3 linked regions of the Mus musculus genome follow. The main gene of each other region encodes a partner of the protein of the gene in region 3 in a complex. Links are inferred from orthologs where the notes say so. Each region holds a gene or a part of one and is shown on either strand. Other genes may lie near its edges.

Region 1 (4,302 bases), on a different chromosome or scaffold from region 3:
GGGATACAAGAGAGAGAGACCCTGCCTCAAAAAAAAAAAGTGGGGTGGGGTGGGGTGAGCAAGATGCCTCAGTAGGTAAAGGCACTTGCCACACAAGCATGGAGTCTGATTTCCAGACACCACAACGGAAGGAGAAAAGCAACTCCTGAAAGATGTCCTCTGACCTCTACACATGCACTGTGGTGCATATGTGCAAGTATGTGCACAAGCATGCACAAACACACACACACACACACACACACACACACACACACACACACACACACACACACACAGTGGGTGTCCACTCAAAATCTCCAACACGGTGTCTCCTGCCTAGAAAGTCCTTTCCTTCCCTGTAAGGCCAATCTTCCTACATCTCTTAAAGTGCCCTCCAAGGACTTTACCTCTGCTCTGGAGGTAGGCCAGGGTAATTTTAATTTTAGACCACAGATTTTATATGCTAAATTGTATTAAAACTGCACATTGGTTTTTAAACCATTCATTTAACTATTCCAGCTAGACAGAGACTAGTTAAGACATGAATTCAATGGAGCTTAAACATCAATATCAATGTCTTGGGTAGCTTAAAAAAGAGAAAGAGAAAATGAATGAACACCTTGCCAGTTCCAGGAGGCCCCGCCAACAAGACAGCTCTTCCAGCCATTTTCTTGCTTTTGATTAATTCTACAATGACGCCACATGCCTGCACAAAACAGAAAGAAACAGTCAGTCTTAAATGCATAATGGTGGAACCAGCTCAGGGCTTGGTCCACACAGCTCGCACACTCTTTTGACACGAGACAGCTGTGATACCAGTGCTGTGCTGTGGAGTGGAGCGGTGGAGGTGAGGTAGCAAAGCCACGTGCTCCAGCTCACACCGTATAGTTGCTGCCACGAAGAGAGAAGGGTAATGAGACGCTGAGTGGCTACCGAGGGCTGGGGGTGGGGTGGGGGTGGAGGGGGACTTTCTCATACATTGTATGTAACATTTGAAGCCCTGGGCAGAAGTCTACATTTCAGCCGGGCAGTAGTGACACATGCCTTTAATCCCAGCACTTGGGAGGCAGCAGCAGGCAGATTTCTGAGTTTGAGGCCAGCCTGGTCTACAGAGTAAGTTCTAGGACAGCCAGGGCTATACAGGGAATCCCTGTCTTGAAAAAAAAAGAAAAAGAAAAAGAAATCTACATTTCAGACAAAAATTGCAAACTCAAAATAACCAAAGCATAAGTTTGGTATGTCTAAGCGACAACATGCTGCAGCAGCCAAAGTATAGTGAACAGAATGGAAAAGGGGAGGTTGAGGCAAGCAGGGACCAGCACAGACCTAGTACTTAACAGAGTCTGCAGGGCTGTGCATTCCAGGCCAGTTTGACTACAGCAACATTATCTAAACAAAAAGGGTATGTATGCTATGAATCCACCCAATAAAAGAATTGGCAAGGGCTGGTGAGATGGTTCAGTGGGTGAAAAGCACTTGTAGTGTAAACCTGAGGACCTGAGTTCAATCCCTGGATCCCACAGTGGAAGGAAAGAACCTCTGACCTCTACCAGAGCACCATGGCAGTCACATGACTGCACTGCATTTGCGCACATTTTGTCAAACAGGAAAAGAAACAAAGAAATATCAGCTAAGGAAGCCAGGTGTAATGGCCCACACCTTTAATCTTAGCACTCAGGAGGCAGAGGCAGTCGGATCCCTGTGAACTCAAGGCCAGTCTGGTCTACAGAGTCCCAGGACAGCCAGAGCTACATAGTGAGACTGTCGTGAAAACAAACAAAAATAAATACCGGCTAACATTCAAAGAATAGGAAGGATAAGATATGGAGTACCAGAGGCTGCTGGTGTGGGTGCAGATGCAGGTCTAGAGCAGCCTCTGAAGTCACATACACAGAAATGTCACATGGACAGAAATGAAATAAGAAACAATAGACTCAAAGCTGCCTGGCCAATAGAAAGCATTAAACTGCTACTACCTGCTTGCAAGAAAAGATGCAAGCATGCTAGGGTCAAACATTTCCCTTTTTGGATAGATGATGCTCTTTGCTGCTGGCACTTTCTGTGTGCAAGAGGCTGAGAAAGCAGTCTTCACCACATGTAAAAAAGCAAGTTTTTGTAGACACTGAACCTCTGCAGAGTTCAGAGTGGAGGAGGCTGAAGAAATGGGAAGAATACTGATTTGATGGGGGTTAGGGGGAGGGAGATACCAGCCTCATTACTGCTAAACTGGCAGGTGGTTAAGCGGCCTAACCCACCTTTAACTTCTTCATGTGCAAAACAGAACCGATAGAAAGACCTGGCATGACTTTAGGAAGACTGACCTGGAAAAGCTGGAGTGCTTGGATGGGGAATAGATCAGACAGTCCTCACCGCTCCACTTAACAGATCAGCTCCCAGGCCCAAAGAACCCATATCAACTCTGAAAACGTAGTCAATTCTATACTTAACCGCACAGCCTTCCACTGCGTTTCCGGTGAGGTCTAATTTGCGTGCCGTGACCCGCAAAGGATGCAGCCTTTGCTCGCTAGTGTGATCCTTACTTCTTAGATCTTAGTGGATCCTGGTCCCGCCGCCCACACCTCGCGCACAAGCCCCACGCCCACCTCTCTCGCGTTCTCCTGGCCCACGAGACCCGAAGCCGCCTGCTTGGCTAGGCCGCTCTCGTCCAGCCCCAGACCCTTCACGTGGCTGTGGGAGGCGATGCGCTGCGTCTTCGTGGTGCTCTTCACCTCCTCAATCTTCATTTTGCCGAGTGTCTAGGAACACAACCTGCGTGGAGTGGTAGGAACTACCGCACGCCAGGCGCCTGGGTTACCACGCGGCCGTTACTAGGCCGCTCTCCTGGACCCGCCCCTATCAATATGTCATTGGGGGAGGCGAGAAGGCTTCGCTTTCTATTGGCTAAAAGCTACGCTGGTCACGGCTGCTGAGTTTCGCCCAGTAACTTCCGTCTGTGTCACAGGATAAGTTCCCCCAGGGCAAACATTTCCTGCCCTGGCCACATTTGACTGAGAACTGCTTAAGTACTTAAGCACTATTAATGTGAATGACAGGTTTTTAATTATAAATGCCTCTTTTAATGCCTATTTTTTTTCTTTAGAATAACATATTTGTGCCAGGGTGAGTTAACTTCTTCACTGACAGATGTTAAATCTTTTCCAGGTGCTTGGATGTCCTGAGAGAATCATCAGCAAAGCAGCTGCCCAAACTTCTCCAGTGCTCACCGAATTATTTAGACACCCAGAGAATGCCCCACTGCTCCCATTTTTTTTTTTCCAGAATACACTAGATCCTGAAGGCACTATTCCAGCCAAAACTTTTCAAACACTTCATGCCATAATTCTGGTCATCATATGCCCAATAAGAACCTTAAAGAAACTCGGCGGTGGTGGCGCACGCCTTTAATCCCAGCACTCGGGAGGCAGAGGCAGGCAGATTTCTGAGTTCGAGGCCAGCCTGGTCTACAGAGTGAGTTCCAGGACAGCCAGGGCTATACAGAGAAACCCTGTCTCGGAAAAAAAAAAAAAAAAACAAACAAACAAACAAACAAAAAAAAAAAAAAACCCTTAAAGGAAAAAAAGGAAGGAAGGAAAAGAGAAGATGTGTTTGTGTAGCCTTGCCTGGCCTAAAACTCCAGGGCCCCCACCTGTCTCTGCCTCCTGAGTTGCTGGCATTAAAGGTGCTACCACCATACTCTGACCAGATATTTTCATCAGTCTGGAGTGGGTGCAAGTCTCCAGGTAGGTGAACAAAAGCTGCCTGTGAATGGTGAAACTATGGTCCTTCATTTGAATAATCAACGGCTCTGATATTGGTGCAAATATGGTAGTTTGTTTTCACAATCCACCTTGCCATAGTCCAAATTTAATGCTTCATTTTCAAGAAGGGCTATACTAAGGACGGCAAACACTCTTGCTTACTCTCTCAACATTCTGGCTCTCTAAGCAGGTGTCCCTCACTTTTTTTTTCTCGAGACAGTGTTTCTCTGTATAGCCCTGGGTGTCCTGGAACTCACTCTGTAGACCAGACTGGCCTCAAACTCAGAAATCCACCTGCCTCTGCCTCCTGTGTCCCTCACTTTCCTCACTTTTAAGTCAGCCAGGAGACACCTTCCTGTGCTGTGCAATGTGTAGCTGTGGTGCAACTTTAGGCCCATTGTTTGATTTCTCAGTCTTTCCACCTATATTAATAGTATTGTGGGCTGAGCCGGTAATATGAAGAAGACAAGCCTAGAGACTGTAGCAGTGAAGACTGTGATGAAAGGCAGCTAGAGAGTTCTAGAGTAAAATAAAGACAGAGTAAAAATAGAGAGTTTCTAGACTG
Region 2 (4,167 bases), about 110 Mb from region 3:
GCTTCAGCAGGTAGCAGCAGTCCATGCACACACAGGCAGTCAAGCCCCAAGGCTCTTCCCCTTGGTCTTTACTTCTTCCAGCGCTGAGACTGGGCCTCATGAGAACCTGCCCCCTGAACAAGCTCCTCTGGCCTTCAAGCCTGAAAGAGCTGCTTCAGAAGAGGCCTTCCCCAGCCTGTCTGTTCATCCACATTTTCCGTGTTTTAGTTCCTGAGTGCTGGGCTTCTGACTGCGCTGCACAAATGGGCACAAACACTAGCTGAGCTACACTACAGACTCTACAGACCGGGCTTGCATTTCCTTTTTAACAAAGTAAGATAGAACAAAGCCAAAACACTGAAGTTGGACAAGACAAACCAACAGAAGCAAGTGAAAGGGCATAAGAATCAGAGACCCACTCGTTCACACTTGCAAGTCCCATAAAAATACTAAACTGAAAAGAAAACTATATACATAGAGGACGTGGTGCCGCCCCATGCTGGCCCAGACCCATGCTGGCCCTGTGCTTGCTGCTTCAGCCTCTGTTCATCTGAGTTCATCGGAGCTTTGCTCAGCTCATTTAGAGGGCCTTGTTCTCCTGGTGTCCTCCTGACCTCTGGCTCTTATATTCTTCTGCAGGGTTCCCTAAATACAGCCCAGATTTCAAGAGCTAAAGCAAGCGCAGTGCTGAGACTAACACTCTCACTCTTTTCAGTGTCTCCTCTGGAAATAAGTGCTAGAGGACTGGTGTGAGGAAAGAAAGGCTCTCAGAAGCAGTGACACGCAGGCCAGAGATCAGTCAGTAGTCTTGACTGAGGTGAGAACACCTCAGGCAGAAGAAAGGAAATGATCAATGGACTCCGCGTGAGCTCACAGAGAGCCATAGACATTGTCAGGCCCTGCAGGCACTGGAGTGTAATCTAAGAAGCAGAACTGAAGTTGCTGAGGGCCAACAAGATGCGGCTTATGCTCCAAATGCCCTATGTTCATGTGTGAGAAGGGTTACAGAACAGAAGGAAGAGAACGGTAAAACCATGAGAAGTGATCACGAGAGGTAAGCACCATCATGGGTCAGGCCAGAAGAGTAGGTCAGTAGCTACATTATGCACATCTTTTCAATACATGACCACTGACCAATTGGATGTGGTTGATGGCTTTAGGTTGGCTCTGTGTATAACTGAGGACAAGTGAGTCTTCACAGGCAATCAGGTAGAGAGGGATCACCAGGTATGCGACAAGCTCCAGAAACAGAGCATATGAATGCCACACTTTCAGCACTGAGGCTCTTCTTCAAGGTCCTTCATGTTGCCTGATCTGTACAAAGCATATGCGCAATACACACCAATAAACACCACTTAGAGACAAAGTAACCCATTGTTTTTAGAGAGCAGGAGCCAGTGTTGCTCACTGGTAAGACATCTGTGGAGTAGACTCCTTCCTAAGTGGGGAAGTGGGTCCAGAAGGTCACTCATTCTACGACGATCTGAAACAGGAGGGCAGTAGGGTTGGAGTAGGGGAAGCTCGGGGAAGCTAGGGTCAGAGGGCCCTAACATACCAGGGAAGAGTCTGGACAGGAGAGGGTCATGCCGAGCTCCCTGCTTCTCTGAAAGCTTGAAGATGTGACATATTCTTGGAGGCAATGGTGACAATGCAGCCAGATCTCATCCCTAACATAGGTGAGGAATAGAAAGGAGAGCTCCTTAGAGACAGCCAGAGAACAACCAGGAGCCCAGCACACTATCTGGCTGGCACACATGAAGGCTCTTACTACCAGTGAGCTACCTCTACAGAAACCTGACAGCTAGAAAGCAGACCCCAGGATCCATGCCTCTTCAGGAACACGCCTTTGTTCATTCTTTACTGTCCACCCATCACACCATGTCCTGGGTGCTGTGGAGACTAAGACTTAAACAAGATACTGCTACTCATTGAGAACCTTAGCACAGGGCACATGCTGACACCCACAGAAAGCACACGAAGCCCTGAATGCAGACTAAGTGCAGGCGGGACGGGCAGCCCCAGGCTTCTGGCCTTCCCCACCACTATGCCCAGGAGAACACAACCGTACTAGGGGAACTCAGCAAAGGACAGTGGGATCTAGCTTGCTGCCATCTGACTCAAGGATAAGCCTGGCAACGCACAGGGCCTACCCTCTACCCGCGTTCAATGCACACCTCTTGAGGACGAGTGTGAAGGGCAGACAGCTCCGTGTCGGGGCAATGGGTCAAGGCCCTGCTCTACCAGCTGTGTGACCGCTGGTGACCAACACGTTCCGGACACAACCATCCGACCACCTGCGGCCCTCCGCAACGTACACCGAGCCAGCCAGCCATGCCCTCCCTTCTAGCCGTAGCCCGCCGCTCACCCAGTTGCCGAAGCCGAACTGCTCGATGGCGTCCAGCAGCAGCTGCTCCTCGCGGCTGGTCCAGCCGCCCTCCGCCTCAGGACCCCAGAGTGTGAATCGTCCGCCGTCTACCAGCTGGTAGCCGTGGTAGCGGCGGTGGTGGCCGATCTCCGCGCCGGCCGAGAAGCACTCGGGGCACAGCTCGATGTCCTGGCACTCTGTGCAGCGGAAGCGCAGCGGGCTCACCTCGGCCAAGCAGTACACGCAGTACTTCTTACCCAGCTCCGCCATCTTCCCCCGCTCGCCCGCCGCCCGGCCCGCAGCCGCCGCGCCCCCGGCCGTCAGCGCCCCGCCGCCTGCCGGGCTCGCTGCGCCCGCCGCGCCCGTGCCGCTGCCGGCCGCTGCCACGGCCGCCCCCGCCCAGGCGCCGCCGGAGCCGGCCAGGCGGGCCGCGTCCCGCCTCAGCACGCAGGCGCCCTCCGGCCCGGCCCGGCCGCCGCCGCCGCAGCCGCTGTCTCCCCGCCGCATCGCGCAGGCGCCCCCCGCGCGCCCTCTCGCGGACAGCCGAGTCTTTGCTCTGCGCCTGCGCGCCGGCGCCTCCCGCGGCCTCATGGACTGGAGGAGCCGCGAGGCCCCGCCCTAAGCCTGTCAGCCGGCGGGGCGCGGACCGGAAGTAGGCCGTGCGGGCCACGCCTCTCGGGAACCAGCGTCCAATTAGCGCCTCCCTTCACCTGTTCGCAGATCTTCATTGGCCTAATATTGCCGGGAGGTGGAGAGAAATGGAAGGCGGGTGACCAATCGCGGGGCCCACCGCGCGCCCTGGTTGCCCCGGGAAACCTAACAGCAGGCATCAGCCGGCCTCAGAGCGGGGCCGGCGGGTCGAAAATGGACAGCCACTACGGGGACATCGAGGGCAAAGACCGAGCCGAGGAAGGCCTGGCCAGGCAGTCGCTCGAGATCAAGGTTAGCTCCGAACCTCTGACTCCGGCCAACCCTGTAGAGCAGGAGCCAGAGCCGAAGCCAGAGCCGGAGCCGACGCAAGGGCGGGAGCCTGAGAGCGAGACCCAGCCGGTGTCGGACAGCTCAAAAGCGAAGGATTCGGAGGGGATCGATTACGCGCATGTTGAGGTCCCGGAAAGTCCGGGGGCCGCTGAGACCGCGGGCGAGGCCGTGTCCCGAGAGCCAGAGAGTCTGCCACAGACCCAGCCCAAGACCAAGCCGGAGTCCAAGGAACCAGAGGACAAAGACGAAGACGAGGATGAGGACGAGGATGAGGACGAGGACGAGGACGAGGATGAGGATGAGGATGAGGATGAGGGAGAGGAACGGGACAGGCCAGAGAAGCCGAAGGGCAAGGGGAAGAGGGAGAAGAGGAAGGAGTCACGGTTCCGGCCATCTCTACCGCTGACCACAATTGTTGAGGAGGGGGCTGCCCCAGGCCCACAAGCTGCGAAAGAGAAAGCAAGGGAGTCACTGAAGAAGAGAGACAGTGAAGAGATCGAGGGGACAGATCGAGAACGACACAAAAGCACAGAAGAGCAACTTCACCCTGGAGAGGCCAAGGAAGAGGAGAAACAAAAAGGGGCGTCCACTGAAGAGTTTGAGTGGACAGCGGACATGCAGAAGCTGCAAGAGCAGCAACTGCGCGGCGAGCTGGTGGAACAGTACCACTCCCTGCTAGTGGAGCGGAACCGTTATCAGCGCTACAACATGTACCTACAGCAGAAGATTCACGAGACCCTACGCAAGAAGGGGCTGGAAGCAGCGGCGGAACCTGGGGACAAGAGCGCTGAACCCGAATCTCCCGAGAAAGAGCAAGCATACTTGCGCTATCTGGCCATGCT
Region 3 (3,572 bases):
GGCTACACAGAGAAACCCTGTCTTGAAAAACAAGAAATGAAAAGAAGAGAAGAGAAGAGAAGAGAAGAGAAAAGAAAAGAAAAGAAAAGAAAAGAAAAGAAAAGAAAAGAAAAGAAAAGAAAAGAAAAGAAAAGAAAGGCTTTACAAATCCTAACTCATTGTGAAGAGTAATTTTATCAATCACAACAGCTTATACCAAGCCAGCTAGGTCAAGGGAAGAAAGAAATGCATTTAAACTATGACAGACACAGGTGACCTAGTCTAAGCTCTCTGGGCTGACTGAAAACTTGAACTTTAGAGTCAAGTTCAGAGAGCCAGAAGACAGAGTGTAAGAGGCCAGAGTGGGCACAGACGTGCGGAGCTTGGGTTTGAGACTCAGGCTCAGACCAGAGCCAGGTGATAGTATCAACCAGCAGCCTGCACACCTACCACGGTCATCAGCAGCTTGTCAAACCACTGCAGTTTGAGCTCAGACTTGCACCACATATCTGGCCGTAGAGCGGTCTTGAGAAGATTCACACAGCGGCGAGAGAGCACCTCCCCAGGCGACCCTGCCGTGTTGGTGTTGTCGTTCACCTGCAAGTACGCCAGTCAGGTGGTCACTCAACACCCGCTTACAGGTACAGAAGAGCAGGGATGTGCACACTGCATCTCAGCACTCTGCCTCCCATGCATCCTCCCCAATGCCCAGACTTCCTTCTCCCTCTGGGTCTCTGCACCTATACACTCCCCTGCAGCAGGTGCCTGTGGTAGCTGAGAACAGGGCCTGCTTTCCAGAGAGGGATACCTGCACAAAGACCCCACACATGAGACCCCCATGCACTGCAAGAAAACAAGGGCTTTGGCAGCCCAAAGGATTCTTTGAAAGTCTTAGCAATCTCCAGTACTTCACAAAACAATATTTTGTTTGACAGCTTTAAGGATTGAAGAACCCACCCCAAATTAAAAAGAAAAATGAATTTTTCTGAGATTCTGCAGGTTGCTAGGCAGCTCTGTCATGCATTCTCATACCTGGCAAGCCACTCGAATGAGGAAGTTCACCACAGTGTCTGTGTGCTGCTTGTCAATGGGCTTGGCAAGAAGAGAGTCAGCTCCCGGCAGGGACTGGCTCCTCCCGAACACCTAGGAAAGGCCACAGGAAGCACCTCCTATGGGGACTCATCCTGACCTGAGAGCAGACAAGTGTCGCCGCCTCCCAGGTTATGGGCATGAAGGACTCCAGAGCGGGGGATGCCTGCCTTGTGAAGCGCACAGAGCTGGCAGGGGCACACCACTTAGTGCACAAACTAGCAGTGAGAAGTGACGGCCCATGTGACAAAGAGAGCACGTGGCAGGTAAAGATGGCAGTGTCTGAGAAGAAGCCAGTGGCAAGGGAACGGGCGAGCCAGGAGGCTGAGTGTAGAGGAGGCCTGGGTAGGGGAGTGAAAGGAGACGTGAGCCAACAGCAGGGCTCTGGCAGAACAGACCACTGACTTCAAATGATTAAACACTCCTGAGGTAGTTATAAACGCAGCAGAGGTCCGACACAGCCTTCACCCGGCTTCCTCTAACTTAAGGGAGGAAAGAAAGGCTTTTGGTACTCTGCTGTGAGAGGCATTATCAGCAGTGACAGGAGCTGCACGAAGTAATCTGGGGTAAAGGTGAAGGATGCTCAGGAGAAGTGAATGGGAAAGGCAGAGATGGGTCCAGGTTTCCACTTGGAGTCCTGGGCACCTGTAGGGACATCTAAACAGAGGGTCCAGGTTTCCACTTGGAGTCCTGGGCACCTGTAGGGACATCTAAACAGACAGGCCAGCAAGAGTTGGAGAAGAATCTTGAAGTGCTGTCAGCCCAGCCAGTGCCTACAAGCCCTAATGCCAGCCAAGAACAGAGCTCAAGGCTCCCAGGGCCGCCATTCTAACCACAAGTGAAAAGCCAGTGCCCAAGACCCTCTAGGAGGCTGCGCTGCAGAAGTCAGGCAAATTGTCTTTTCAAAAACCAAGAAAGTGGGCGCACGTTCTCAACCTTTGCATGTTTTGTTTGTTCCCCTTGCTTCTTTCTTTTGCTATGGACGGGGTCCAGGGCCTTACCCATGCTGGGCAAGCGCTCTGTCAGCCACACCTCCAGCCCCTTCACTGCGGGATTCTAGAAAGATGCTCTACGGCTGAGCTGACCCTAGCTTCTCACTGCAGACTGGAAGCAGGACACACACACACACACACACACACCCATCAGCAGGTGATACTCTCAGCCCCTTGCTGGCATTGTCTAGGCTGCTCTGCTACAGCTCAGTTTCCTCTTTTGGCTTTTTCTATAAATAACTAATAGACCCCAATGGTACTAAGCCAGTGAAGAGGAATGGCAGGAAATGCAAAGACCTCTAGTGGGTGTTGGGCCCTAGAGCTGTTCCCAGTTCCCTTTCCAGCTGCCTCTGGAACAGCTGGCTCAAGAACACTCAAAACGCATGGACTATATGCAGAGCCCCAGGAGAGAGCAAGCACACACAGGAAACACAAGTCCTTACTGCGCTGATGGCTCCAGTGGCCGCCCTGAAGCGTTTCACCTCCTGTGCAGAGTCTACAGACAGGCCTCTCTTAATGGACACTGAGTTGACACCCTCTCCACTGGAATTTGGGTCCATGTCAGAATCCGGCTTGAAAAACACAAAGACACAGCAGGTTTTATTGAGTGGTTCCCCGGAGAAGAGTAAGGAGCCGGAGGAGAGATGACAGCCAAGGCTGGCAGTCCTACTTGCTGATCCTTGATCCTCTGCAGTTCCCACTTGATGACAACCTCGGAGAGGTCCACGGCCAGCCTCCTCTGCTCAATGGTGACACTGGGTGTGAAGCCCAGCCTCTGCATGGCACTAACCATGTGCTGTACCAAGTGGTGCCGCACCGGGTAGTACACCTGCAGACACAGGGACCAACGTCATGTCAGCGTTTACTAAAAGGTGAGGGGCCACCCCTGTTACAGAAGAGTAGGGGCTCGAAGCCAGCACCCGAGGCTGTACCACACACATCTGCTGCCACTTTCCATACCTTAAAGTGCTGCACTATGAGGTGAAGAATATGCACCAGCTGTGGGACCGTGTGCCCCTCCTCCACGATGATCTTCCTAGTCCAGTGTGTCAGCATCTGGTGTCCGTCCTCCATGCGGGCTGGCACTGCTGGGGTCAAAATGGCCATTGCCTGTCTCACAATCGCTCGGGCTTCCATTGCGTGAGCCTTGAGAAGACTGTGGAAAACCTAGACGAGAAACGCCAGTTTTCAGGGGAATCTGATGTTCTCTTCTGTTCCCTGTGTATTCTGCACACATAGCATGTATGCATATGTATGTACATGCATACACACACACCACACACCTTATACATACATACATCATGCAGACCAAACTCTCTCTCCCTCTCCCTATATACAAATTTTTAAAGCTGTTTGACAGGAAGGTCAGAATTAGAAACCCAAAAGATGACTGAGCAATCAAGGTACCACACAAGACTGTGACCCTGGGTTTAAGCCCTAGAACTGACATAACGATAAAGGAATCAACTCTCTCTGGCACCTGTGTTTGGCATGAGAGCATCCTGAGGGACA

Evidence for each region. The genes of interacting proteins can lie anywhere in the genome.
Region 1: Trrap (region 3) and Ruvbl1 share a complex: the UniProt entries of both Homo sapiens proteins name them as parts of the SWR1-like complex. The link is inferred for Mus musculus from reciprocal best matches to the Homo sapiens genes TRRAP and RUVBL1.
Region 2: Trrap (region 3) and Tada2b share a complex: the UniProt entries of both Homo sapiens proteins name them as parts of the TFTC-HAT complex. The link is inferred for Mus musculus from reciprocal best matches to the Homo sapiens genes TRRAP and TADA2B.

The regions. Positions count from the first base shown.
Region 1 is NC_000072.6:88,463,949-88,468,250, reverse strand, and holds the start of Ruvbl1 (ruvB-like 1), read right to left. Parts: upstream 2,843-4,302; 5' UTR 2,724-2,842; coding exon 2,583-2,723; intron 686-2,582; coding exon 599-685; intron 1-598. UniProt on the Homo sapiens protein: Possesses single-stranded DNA-stimulated ATPase and ATP-dependent DNA helicase (3' to 5') activity; hexamerization is thought to be critical for ATP hydrolysis and adjacent subunits in the ring-like structure contribute to the ATPase activity.
Region 2 is NC_000071.6:36,481,444-36,485,610, forward strand, and holds the start of Tada2b (transcriptional adapter 2-beta), read right to left. Parts: upstream 2,843-4,167; 5' UTR 2,615-2,842; coding exon 2,345-2,614; intron 1,647-2,344; exon of another isoform or gene 1,565-1,646; coding exon of another isoform or gene 1,535-1,564; intron 1-1,534. Other genes in the region: Ccdc96 (coiled-coil domain-containing protein 96), read left to right, coding at 3,209-4,167. UniProt on the Homo sapiens protein: Coactivates PAX5-dependent transcription together with either SMARCA4 or GCN5L2.
Region 3 is NC_000071.6:144,817,252-144,820,823, reverse strand, and holds part of Trrap (transformation/transcription domain-associated protein), read right to left. Parts: intron 3,228-3,572; coding exon 3,021-3,227; intron 2,890-3,020; coding exon 2,731-2,889; intron 2,633-2,730; coding exon 2,504-2,632; intron 1,123-2,503; coding exon 1,012-1,122; intron 577-1,011; coding exon 430-576; intron 1-429. UniProt on the Homo sapiens protein: Adapter protein, which is found in various multiprotein chromatin complexes with histone acetyltransferase activity (HAT), which gives a specific tag for epigenetic transcription activation.